Linked DNA regions of Caenorhabditis elegans. The protein of the gene in region 2 purifies or fractionates together with the protein of the main gene of each other region. This does not show direct contact. Each region holds a gene or a part of one and is shown on either strand. Other genes may lie near its edges.

Region 1 (3,756 bases), on a different chromosome or scaffold from region 2:
TAAGAAACTGAATATCTGAAATTTCGATTTGTTAACAGTTTTTCCTGTAAAATAAACCTTTATAAGCCGCTGTAAAATTCTTCATTCTCGAATCGTCCAGAAATAGGAAACCATTGTGGCTCACATAGTAAAAATATTCTCTGAAAACTCAAATTCAAAAAGAAACAATTAATTTAAAAATAAAACCTTATTTTTCCGTTATACTGCCCCTGTGTGTAGAGACTTCGTGCAAATGTCAGTATCATTTCCGAAACTTAAAAAAGTTAAATTTTGATTTAAATTAATTTGAAAAGAAAAGCTGACTGGTAATATTTCCGTTTCTCATAAATTCATATTCAAATCTTTATAAATCAATCAAACAATCTACATTTATTCACTTTCTGAATGGAATAAAAGAACGCAACATGAAAAAGAAAAAAAAGTTGTTACGACGGAATAAGAAAACTCAACACAATTCGTTCTAAAAAATTTCATTGAAAAAGAAAAGATTGACAGCGTAGAATTAGAAGAGACGGAAGTCGGACTTCTTTCCTTGATCCTTGTCGAATTCTGGGTCTTGTGAGACCTGAAAATATAAAATTTTAATTTTCGATCCAGGATTCTCTCGTAGCTTCTTTTTTAAAATTAAATCTTGAAAGAATATTTACCTTCTTGTAGTATTCCCAATCCTTGGACAATGGCTTGTCACCCTCGAGTGCTGACTTGCTCATTTGGAACTCATATGGTGGCTCATAGTTCTTCTTGTCTTGATAGAACATTCCCTTCTTCCAGAATGAATAGTCAAACTCTCCATTAGCAAGTCGTGCTTTATGATCAGCAAGCTTAGCTGCACGCTCATCCATAATCTCTGGATGACGTCGTTCCCAGATCATTCGATGCTTCTGCTTCATATAAGCATCACGAACATCGGATTCTCCTCCCAACTCTCCGTATTTCATGAAGAAATTCAACTCATTCTCTTCCATATCCTCAATAACCTTGGCACATGGTGAATGATCAGGATTGTTGTAAAGCATACACCGATCAACACGTTGGCGGAGGGTTTGCAGAATAAATCCATCGACCATTTTATCAAGACGGTACTGCTCATTGGCTTCGTAGAAGCAGGCCTTGTCGTTCACTCCGCATTCGTCGATTTCCGGAACACGTGTAAGTTGACGGTGATAGTAGGGTAGACGGTTCTTGTTGTTGAGTGGTTGCACAATAGTCTCTGAAAAGCTGACGAGTTAGTAGAATAGATTAAAATGGATTGTTTTGCCTAGTTGATTTATTATGTGGAACTGCAACTACTAACTGTACATCAGCTTGAGGTAGTCGAATAACTTTGGTTTTTTTCTAGTTTAAAATTATAATTTACAGCAATGATATGGGAATTAGAAATTAACCTTTACTTGCACCACAAGTTCCCAAATTTTTTGAATCTGGATAAAACCGTAGACAGTATCAATTACTTGGAATTAAAACAAATGGTGAAAGTAAATAAACTTGAACGAAATTTGTTTTCTGTCAATTCTTACATTTTGTAAATGGTTTTAAATCTAATTTCAAAGCTGCTTCTTCTTTAAATGATTCTCCAACTTGAGAATTTTAAAAATTACCTCTGAACCAAGTTGCTGGGGCGTCGAAAGCCTTATGGGCATAATAACGGAATCGTGGGTAGATGGATCCTCGTGAATCGATATCACGAACTTTCCAGTAAGCATCCCAAGATGCTTTATCGTCAGCTTGACGTTGCTCCACTAAGCCTTCACCCATACTGAATGTCGAAAATTTTCCATTGTGAATTGAGAATATTGAGTAATAAATATTAAAACAACGAAGAAACGTTGAAAATTGAAATATTACATAGAACAAGACGATAAATTAAATTTTTAAAAAGTTCAACAACAAAAGGAAAAAAAAATCAACAATAGCAGGAATTACACTGAAAAATTAAAAATTGAGATAAAGATTCTTAATCACTGACAGATCGTGTGTAATTATTCTGAACCAGGGTGATAAGCTCATCTTCGTCAGTGATAAACTCTGATTTATTGATAATATCGTGAATCTTGATAATATCATCAGAAGTCGAAGCACTAATCCAGATTCTTCCGTTCATTCCAACAGTGATTTCGAATTTGAAGAACTTGCCAACAGTTTGAAGAATTTTGCAAGATGGGTTGATTAGTCGACGACAATGATTCAAGGAGACCTATAATAATTTTTAAATTTTACAATAAATAGTAAATTTCGTGTCTAACTTTGAACATGAATCCTCCATTTAGCTGTCCCATTCCACGTGCTCGTTTCTCGTCATCCACACAGGTAAGCTCTGCTTCAGTTCTTGGAGTTGTGTCGAAAACTGTTGCATAAATAATATCTCCAGTTTTTAGATTCGGCCTATTCCTTTTAGTAGCACCTTCGAAGTTAGTAAAGTTGATCATGGCGTATTCGGCAGTTCCTATGTCCAAACGAAAGAAATCACCAGTTTTTGAAGTGACAATAGCGATTACTCGGTCTCCTTCCTGTGGTATATATCTGAATTTAAGAAAAATTGTGATTTTAAATGTTGTTCGTGATCATTCTTACCTTTTGCTGTGAACATTTAACCAGACTTTTCCATCATCGTTGTGGAAAGCTCCAGGTTGAGTGGCAATTCTCGTTTGGCCACGTACACTAATTCCGTAGCCAATGATTGAGGAATCGCTTGAAGAAGGTTCATTGATAACGTCGCCAGGGAGATATACGGTCATTTCTGAAAATTGAATACTCAATGATGAACAAAATAACGTTTTAAAAAGTAGTGGCGAATAGAAAAACCAAATTTAAATACCGCAGGAGGAATAACGTAATAAGCTACGTTAATAAAGTGTTTTCAATGAGTATATTAACTGAAAATTGTAAATTTTTGCAATAAAATTAATCAAAAAGTGATAATATTTCGCAAAATAAACGGAAAAACTAGAAAAATAAGAAATAAAAATGGAGCGGCTGTTGAAAGTCTGCGACTTGACGTGACGGTGTTTGCGGTGTTGTATACCGTACCCATTGATTTTTATTTGATATGTTGGAAATTGCAATTAATATTAATTGTCAAGGACTAAAAGAAAAATAACACTGAAAACATAAATGCGTGGCAATTTTTTAAAATAAATATCGACACGTACACCGAGAAAAATTTAGTTTCAAATACAGTTCAACTGAGTTTTTAGTGGTCAAACTGGTTTGTAAATGGTATGTAATATAGTTAGGTTTTTTGAAGTTAAAGTTTTCCCATTCAGCTAGTTGTTGTTCTTTCCGGTATTATTGCCACGTGTCTGGCCGTGAAGCAGACAGATTTTTCCGTGCATATCAAAGGACAACTTGTGTGTGATGATGTCCCTGCTGCCAACATGCCAATGGACATTTTTTCTGAAGCACAAATGTGTAAGAGAGTTTGAAATCGTTCAACTGAATCTAAAATCTTTACTCTCAGTCAGATACGAAGATTTTATGGATCGATGGACAAACGAGAAAGGAGAATTTGATTTCAAAGCCTATGTGACAACTGATGCTTATATGATTACTCCTTATGTCGTTATCATTCACAGATGCTGGGAATCTAAAGAAGTTCCACATCGTTGCGATCGGAAAATCGTCCAACCAATCCCACCACTCAATGTCACTGTTAACTCGAAGACTCCTGATGAGAAGAAAGTGTACAACTTTGGAAAAGTCGATCTTCGCTTTAAGAATCCTGCCGAAGTTACTGTGAAATGTGGATAATAATAATTT
Region 2 (3,243 bases):
ATTATATGCCAAAATATGTACGAGCCACATTAAAATCATTTATAGCCATACATTTACACCCACTGAAAATTCAAAATTTTCTTGAAATTAAAATGCCCACCCATAATGCTGATCCCCCGCTGCCCTCTCGCCTTCTCACCAGAGATGTGCTGCACCTTTTTTGAAACTTTCGGAAAATTTACAAAATTTTTCTTTTTTCGTTGTTTAGACGAAGTTTTTATTGGAAATTTAAATTATTTTGATTTTGATTGAAAGTGAAAAGTTCCTAAAAAAAAAGTAAAAATATTTCTGTGTTCCAATATAAATTTTCCAATTTTATCAACAAAAAAATGTGCCGCGCCTCTCTTCTCACCATCCCCTAGATTAAATTTTTGCGGGTGACTTTCTCTCCCTTCCCCACCCTCGCCCGTTCTATATATATATTATATACATAAGATTTATTTTCTTAATTTGTCCAAAAAGTGCCTCCCTTTCTGTTTTTCTCAGTTTTTTTTTCTTCAAATTTTGCATAAAAATCGCATTTTTATTTCACTACTACAGGAACACTGGGTTCGGCGCACACACAAAAAAAGAAACCGCTAGACATTCGAGTGGATATTTTTTACACACAAACAATTATTTTCCAATTATTTCGGTGGGCTCAAGTTAGTTTTGACGATGGCAGATGGAGTTGGAGCTGAAAATTTTATTTATTTCTCTCTGATTTTCAGAAATTTCAAGCCTACATTCTTGGAAGGAATACCAAGTTTGTTCAGCATGAGCTCTTCCGGTCTTTGCCACGTCAACAGCCTCTATCGGATAACAAAAGGCGGCCATCGTGGCCAAGCCGATGGTAGTGGTGAGGAGACGTCCGACCGGGCCACGTTTCAGGCCTAAAACGAATCCGGCCATTCCACCAACGGTGATTGCTGCGGCTTTTGGAAGAGCAGTCCATTCTTCTGTCAGATATGCATTGCATTTGGTCGCCGCTTTTTTTGTTTGAGTCATCGCACAATCGACAACTTTGAAGCGTTCCTGAAACAAAAATCGGTGATAAAAATATATTTTTCACAAAATTAGTTTAATTTTTACTTTTACTCAATTTAATGATATTAAAAATTTTCAATTTCCTCTCGAAAATGGATATTTTCAATGTATTTTTTTCTTTTGTGAAACACATTCGGTTTTCACTTGAAAAAACTACAGATATCAAATAATTACTTAAATACAAAAAATTAGCTAAATAAAATAATCCAAACTCTTCTTTTAAAAAAAAACCAATTAAAAACGAAATATAATTTTTTCTCCACATAAAATCGCGTAAAACTCACAGCAACACGATCATACTCCTGCTCACATGCGATACGAATAGTCGCGAATTCTCTTTGAAGAGGAAGTGGCTCTTCTGGAAGGAATTTCTGCTTCAGTGGAGCATTATCTTCAGCATAAATCGGAAGTTGCTCAATCTTAATAGGTTTTGAATCTCCATTATTCGTCGTGTTTTTCGAGGTGACAAGTTGCCAGAATTGTCCAAAAACATTTGTCACTTGTTCACCGGCGTTTGAAATTGTCTCCACAATCGGCTTGTCTTGTGTCATCTGGAAAATCAAGCGGTAAAACAATAAAATAATAAAACAAGAATAAATATTTTAAAATTGATTAGCTTATTATAATTATTAAAAAACCATGAAGAAATAAGTATTCCTACATTTGTGGCGCAAAATATCTCGTAGCGCAGGCTCTGTGTCGATTTACGGAGTTTGTGTTTATTCACGATGCGCCTTTAAACAATTATTTAAAATTGATTTTCTTTGTATTTAATTACCACTTTTTCATAAATCGACACCGACGCCTGCGCTACTATATATTTCGCGCCAGGCTTTCTTGTTTTTTTTTTAAATATTTTCTAACATTTAAACCCCTCTGAGGACGGTTTTAAAATTAAAATAGATAATTAACAGGCAATTAACCATGTCTTTAACCAATCCAAATTACCCTTAAAACACCCAAAATAATTTATTAAAAAAACGAAAATTGGGGAGATCTTTTGCATAACAAAACAGAAGAATAATAAACAAAGGATGTTCAGAATTTGGACAGTTTAGAATGGGGTTTTAAAATGGAACGTCAGTAATGGAAGTTTAAGAACGCGATCTTCTGCCGGCTGGAGAACGAGAGCGGCTGGCACGGCGGAATCTGTTGGGCCCTCCAAGTGGCATATTGTTGGCTCCTGAGCCACGGCCGCCCATTGGAGAACGTCTGCGATGTGGTGGTGGACTGCGGCCTCTGGAATTTGATGAAAATTATCAAAATATACTACTTTTCCTTGATTACTTACCCTCTTCTCATTGGTGACATTCTGTCTCTTGGTGGCGGCGAGCGTCTTCTAAATGGAGAACTTCTACGCTGGAATGGGACAGATTGTCGTCCGATAGTCATTTCGACGTGAACAGCCATTCCATCGATTTGTCCTCCATCCATGTGCTTGATCGACTTTTCGGCGTCTTCCAAATTGTCATATTCAACGTATCCATATCCACGATGAACATGGTTATGGAAGCGATCTGGTGGAAGATCGACATTCTTGATGGCTCCGTAGATCGAGAAAATCTCCTCGAGGTGCGTTTTCAGAACATTTCTGCTCAAATTTTTGATCACTACACGCTTGGCCGGACTGGCTGATCTTGCTGCTGGGCTTCTCCTCGGAGAAGCGCGTCTCCTCTGACGGCTCCCGCTTCTGTCACGACGATCACGACGTGGTGGCGATGGGGATGGACGACGGCGACGTGGTGGTGATGGTGATGGTCGCATTGGGCGATCGCGATCCGCGCGTGCTCCTCTTGGCGGTGAACCACGACGGATTGGAGAACGAGAGCGTCCTCCACGAGCTGGTGGGCGGGTATCACGACGACGTGGTGAGCGAGAACGAGAACGGCCACTGGACGATGAGCTGGAGGAGCGAGATCCTGATGAACTACTTCTGAAATATCGATTATTAAGCTATTGTATGAAAATTGTAAAGCATACCCAGAAGATGACGATCCAGAGCTACTGGACGAGCTGCTTGAAGACGAGCGAGCCCTCTTTTTGGTTTCTTCTTTCTCAACCATACTGAAAAATTATTTCATATACTCGAATAGACATCAACTAAGTAAGAAAATTTTCACCGCGTGGTGTTCGAGCAGAAGAAGAGACAGAATGTTGGCTAAAGCGCTTACTTTTTTGAGTAAATAATTAACCAAAAACAAGAATTACGGATTTTCA
Region 3 (3,756 bases), on a different chromosome or scaffold from region 2:
CCACCATGTTTTCCGGACATTTTGAGTGATTTGGGCCAAATTTGAGTGGTGGAACTAACTTTTCACCTGGTGGCCTAGAAACCCAAAAGTTCGGCCACCGATTTTTTTTTCGATTTTCATGATTTTTATGTCATCTATTTTTATTTGTATTTGTCTAGGCCATTCTAGGCCATTTTCTAGGCCATTTCTAGGCCATTTTAGGCCGATCTAGGCCATTTTTCGTGTAAAAAACAGCAAAATTGTTCATTTTTCGTCGTCATTTTTTTGCGTACCATTCCGGTGGCACTTGAGTCGCATCATAGTCGAGCCAAACTTTGTCGGGAAACTCGACCCAACGGTTGCGTGGCACGAAATACGCGTTATTCTCGTAGTAACGATTGCCGAAATTGTCCGAACCGACGAGTGTTCCGACGCGGGTCGCGTCCATTCTGAAAATTTGAGAAGATTTTTATGTAAATTGAGCGAAAATGGTGTAAAATTGGCCTAAAAATCATCATTAAAAAACAAAAGAAATCGGTGGCCGAACTTTTCGATTTTCTAGGCCACCATGTGAAAAGTTAGTCCCCATCGATTTTCGCTCGTTTTCAGGTGATTTTAAGCGATTATAAGCCCGCGCGGACTAACTTTTCACTCGCTGGTCTAGAAAATCGAAAAGTTCGGCCACCGATTTTTTTTTCGGTTTTTTATGTTTCTCCGGTCATTTTTCCGACGCGAGTCATTCGAAAAATTCAATTTTTCAACCGAAATTTTGATGAAATTAAGCGAAAATAGTGTAAAATTGGCATAAAACTCATTAAAAAAAAAACGGTGGCCGAACTTTTCGATTTTCTAGGCCATCAGGTGAACAGTTAGTCCCCCACACAAAATTGACCTGACGTATCGCGCAGGATGTCCAAATGAAATTGGGGGACTAATTTATCACTTGGTGGCCTAGAAATCCAAAAAAGTTCAGCCTCCGATTTCTGACAGATTTCATGACAAATTTCGTACATTTTTTGAATTTTTTAATACTGAAAAATTCAAAAAAAAAATTCGTGGCCGAACTTTTCGATTTTCTAGGCCACCAGCTGAAAAGTTAGTCCCCGCTGATTTTCGCTCGTTTTCAGGTGATTTCAAGCGATTATCAACCCGCGGACTAACTTTTCACATGACGGCCTAGAAAATCGAAAAGTTAGGCCATCAATTTTTTGATGTATTTTTAAAAAATAAAATTCGATTGTTGTAAATCGAAAAAAAAAATTAAAAATTTGTCAGAAATCGGTGGCCGAACTTTTGGATTTCTAGGCCACCAAGTGAAAAATTAGTCCCCCAATTTTGTTTTGACATTCTGCGTGATAGGTCAGGTCAGTTTTGTGTGGGGGACTAACTTTTCACCTGATGGCCTAGAAAATCGAAAAGTTCGGCCACCGATTTTTTTTTCGATTTTTATGATTTTCAGGTAATTTTCGACCGTTTTTCTTCTAATTTAGTGCATTTTCAGCCATTTTTCCACCTGAAAACTTACAAATAACGCTTCTTAAGCACCGCTTTGACACCTCCAATCTCCTTGACCATTTGGCCAAACTTTTGGATTTTATCGATTCCCAGCCACGCTTTCAGGGACATCTGTAATGTAAATTTGGTTGGAAAAATGGGAAATTTTAACGGAATGTGGGGAGGAAAAACCAAGCATTTTGTGAATTTTTTCAAAAAAAAATTTTTTATAAATTTTTTGGCGAAAAACTCCATATTTCCTGTGAAATATGATATTTTTCGAGTTTTTCACTGAAAAATCTTGAATTTTTTGAAAAAAATCAGGGAAAAATCGATTTTTCAGTGGAAAATTGGAACAAAAAAAGTGAATTTTTACATTTTTTGAAAACTTTAAATTTTTCACCAAAAAATCGCAGAAGAAGGATTTTTCTCTCTGAAAAATTGGGAAAAAATCTGAAAAATTCAAAATTTGACTTTAAAATTGAATTTTTAATGGAAAATTTGTAAAAAATGTGCATTTTTCACTAAAAATTGAAAAATTCTGAAAATCTGGAAAAAATAAAAAAAATATTTCAGAGCTTGAAAAACTCGCAAATTCCAAAACAAAAAATCAATAAAAATCGCCGCAATTTTTCACAGAAAACGGTGTACTTTTTTTATGCATTAAAGTGTGATAGAAGAAAGAAAAAAAACGATATTGGGAAATGGGGGGAAAAAATCAAATAATTTAGCGTAAAATACAGGTATTTTCAGGGAATTTGAGAGGTTTTGGGGGGTAAAAACGAGTAGAAATTCGAAATTTTTTCAGATGAAATTTTCAATTTTCAATTTTCCCGCCAAAAAAGCAGCGTCAGGAATCTCCTCAGTTGGTGGTGGGCAAGATTTTCACGGCGACGACCGAATTGAGCACATTTGCATCCTTCAGAGTCTGTGATTCGTCTTCAAATGGTTTTGGAGGGTAGGCAGCCATCATTTGGAATGGAGCGTAGATCATATCTGGGCGGGCGCTGGAAAATCAAAATTTTTAAATTAAAAAAATTTGAGTTTTTTGAAAGAAAAAACTAGAAAAATGTAATTTTTTAATTTGAAAAATGTAATTTTTTAATTTGAAAAATGTAATTTTTCTATCACTGTGTATATCAGAAAAATATTATTAAAAAATAATTATTCATTGGAAAATTTCGAATTTTTCAGGCTAAAAATGTGATTTTTAGATGATTTTTTTATTTTTTTAATTCGAAATTTTCTAAAAATCTACTTTTTCTAGTGAAAAATGAGAGTTTTTAATAGCTTTTTCCGGCTGAAAACTCACGTGCAAATGAATGTACGAACTGCTTCAAGTGTGTGAGAATGATTAAAAATACCGACGAGACGCTGATTGTTTGGCAGACGGATTTGGATCTGAAAATTTTGTTAAAATTAATCAAAATATCAGGAAAGAAGCCACAATTCGACTGAAAATCTATAATTAGAGCCTGAAATTTTTTTTTTTCGAAAAAGTAGATTTTTCTCCGTTTTTTTTGTGTTTAAAATCATATGAATTTTGTAGATTTTTATCGATTTTTTTTTGCCAATTTTTATTGATTTTTTGAAGGATTTTACGACCTTTTTGTGATATTTTTATTGATTTTTCACGTTTTTTTCAGGAAAAAAATCTGATTTTTTCCCAGAAAATGAGCGTCGGAGAGCAGAAAAGCGTCCTGATGGTGTGTTTAGGTACGGTTTTTAGGTGAAAAATAGGTGGCCGAGGTTTGGGTTTCTAGGCCAGCAATTTTTTATTTGGAAAATTGACGAAAAAACGGTCAAATTTGCGCGAAAAAAATTGGTGGCCGACTTTTTAAAACAGTTAGGCCACCGATTTTTTTCGGGTTTCCCATCGAATAATTAGTAATTCAGCACATTTTTGTGAAAAATTGGAAGAAAATAAAATTTTAAAAGTCGATGGCCGAACTTTTGAATTTCTAGGCCACCAACTGAGATGTTAGTCCTCCACAAACGTCTTCTTGCCATTTTGAATTGTGTCTAGCTATTTTCAAATGGGCTGGACTAACTTTTCACTTGATGGTCTAGAAATCCGAAAGTTCGGCCACCGATTTTTTTTCCCAATTTAAGCGAATTTTTGAATATTTTATTATCAGAATCATTTAATTTTAGAGTGTTTTTGAAGCTTATTTTATCCGATTTGAAATTTTTCAGAAATAAACTGATTCTGGGATGTTTTTTCTAGTGTATAATTGATAACATATATTTAAAATTTAATTTTCAAAAGTTTGCAGTTGATTT

The links.
Region 1: the proteins of moma-1 (region 2) and ndub-10 fractionate together in Caenorhabditis elegans (co-fractionation; one large-scale study listed by BioGRID). This does not show direct contact.
Region 3: the proteins of moma-1 (region 2) and ndua-12 fractionate together in Caenorhabditis elegans (co-fractionation; one large-scale study listed by BioGRID). This does not show direct contact.

Annotation. Positions count from the first base shown.
Region 1 is NC_003279.8:10,517,360-10,521,115, reverse strand, and holds ndub-10 (NADH dehydrogenase [ubiquinone] 1 beta subcomplex subunit 10), read right to left. Parts: upstream 1,757-3,756; 5' UTR 1,756-1,756; coding exon 1,599-1,755; intron 1,211-1,598; coding exon 648-1,210; intron 566-647; coding exon 503-565; 3' UTR 355-502; downstream 1-354. Other genes in the region: UPF0598 protein F59C6.12, read right to left, coding at 1-15, 58-140, 187-245; exos-3 (Exosome complex component RRP40), read right to left, coding at 1,955-2,194, 2,244-2,520, 2,572-2,735; nlp-4 (Transthyretin-like family protein), read left to right, coding at 3,214-3,216, 3,264-3,408, 3,458-3,747.
Region 2 is NC_003281.10:850,820-854,062, forward strand, and holds moma-1 (MICOS complex subunit MIC27), read right to left. Parts: upstream 1,578-3,243; coding exon 1,311-1,577; intron 1,015-1,310; coding exon 726-1,014; intron 677-725; coding exon 627-676; 3' UTR 512-626; downstream 1-511. Other genes in the region: rnp-5 (RRM domain-containing protein), read right to left, coding at 2,121-2,265, 2,318-2,959, 3,007-3,089. UniProt on the Caenorhabditis elegans protein: Sustains mitochondrial morphology probably through maintaining cristae morphology. May act as a component of the MICOS complex, a large protein complex of the mitochondria.
Region 3 is NC_003282.8:2,718,230-2,721,985, forward strand, and holds the start of ndua-12 (putative NADH dehydrogenase [ubiquinone] 1 alpha subcomplex subunit 12), read right to left. Parts: upstream 1,606-3,756; coding exon 1,505-1,605; intron 429-1,504; coding exon 273-428; intron 1-272. Other genes in the region: ubxn-2 (UBX domain-containing protein 2), read right to left, coding at 2,336-2,480, 2,786-2,874. UniProt on the Caenorhabditis elegans protein: Accessory subunit of the mitochondrial membrane respiratory chain NADH dehydrogenase (Complex I), that is believed not to be involved in catalysis. Complex I functions in the transfer of electrons from NADH to the respiratory chain.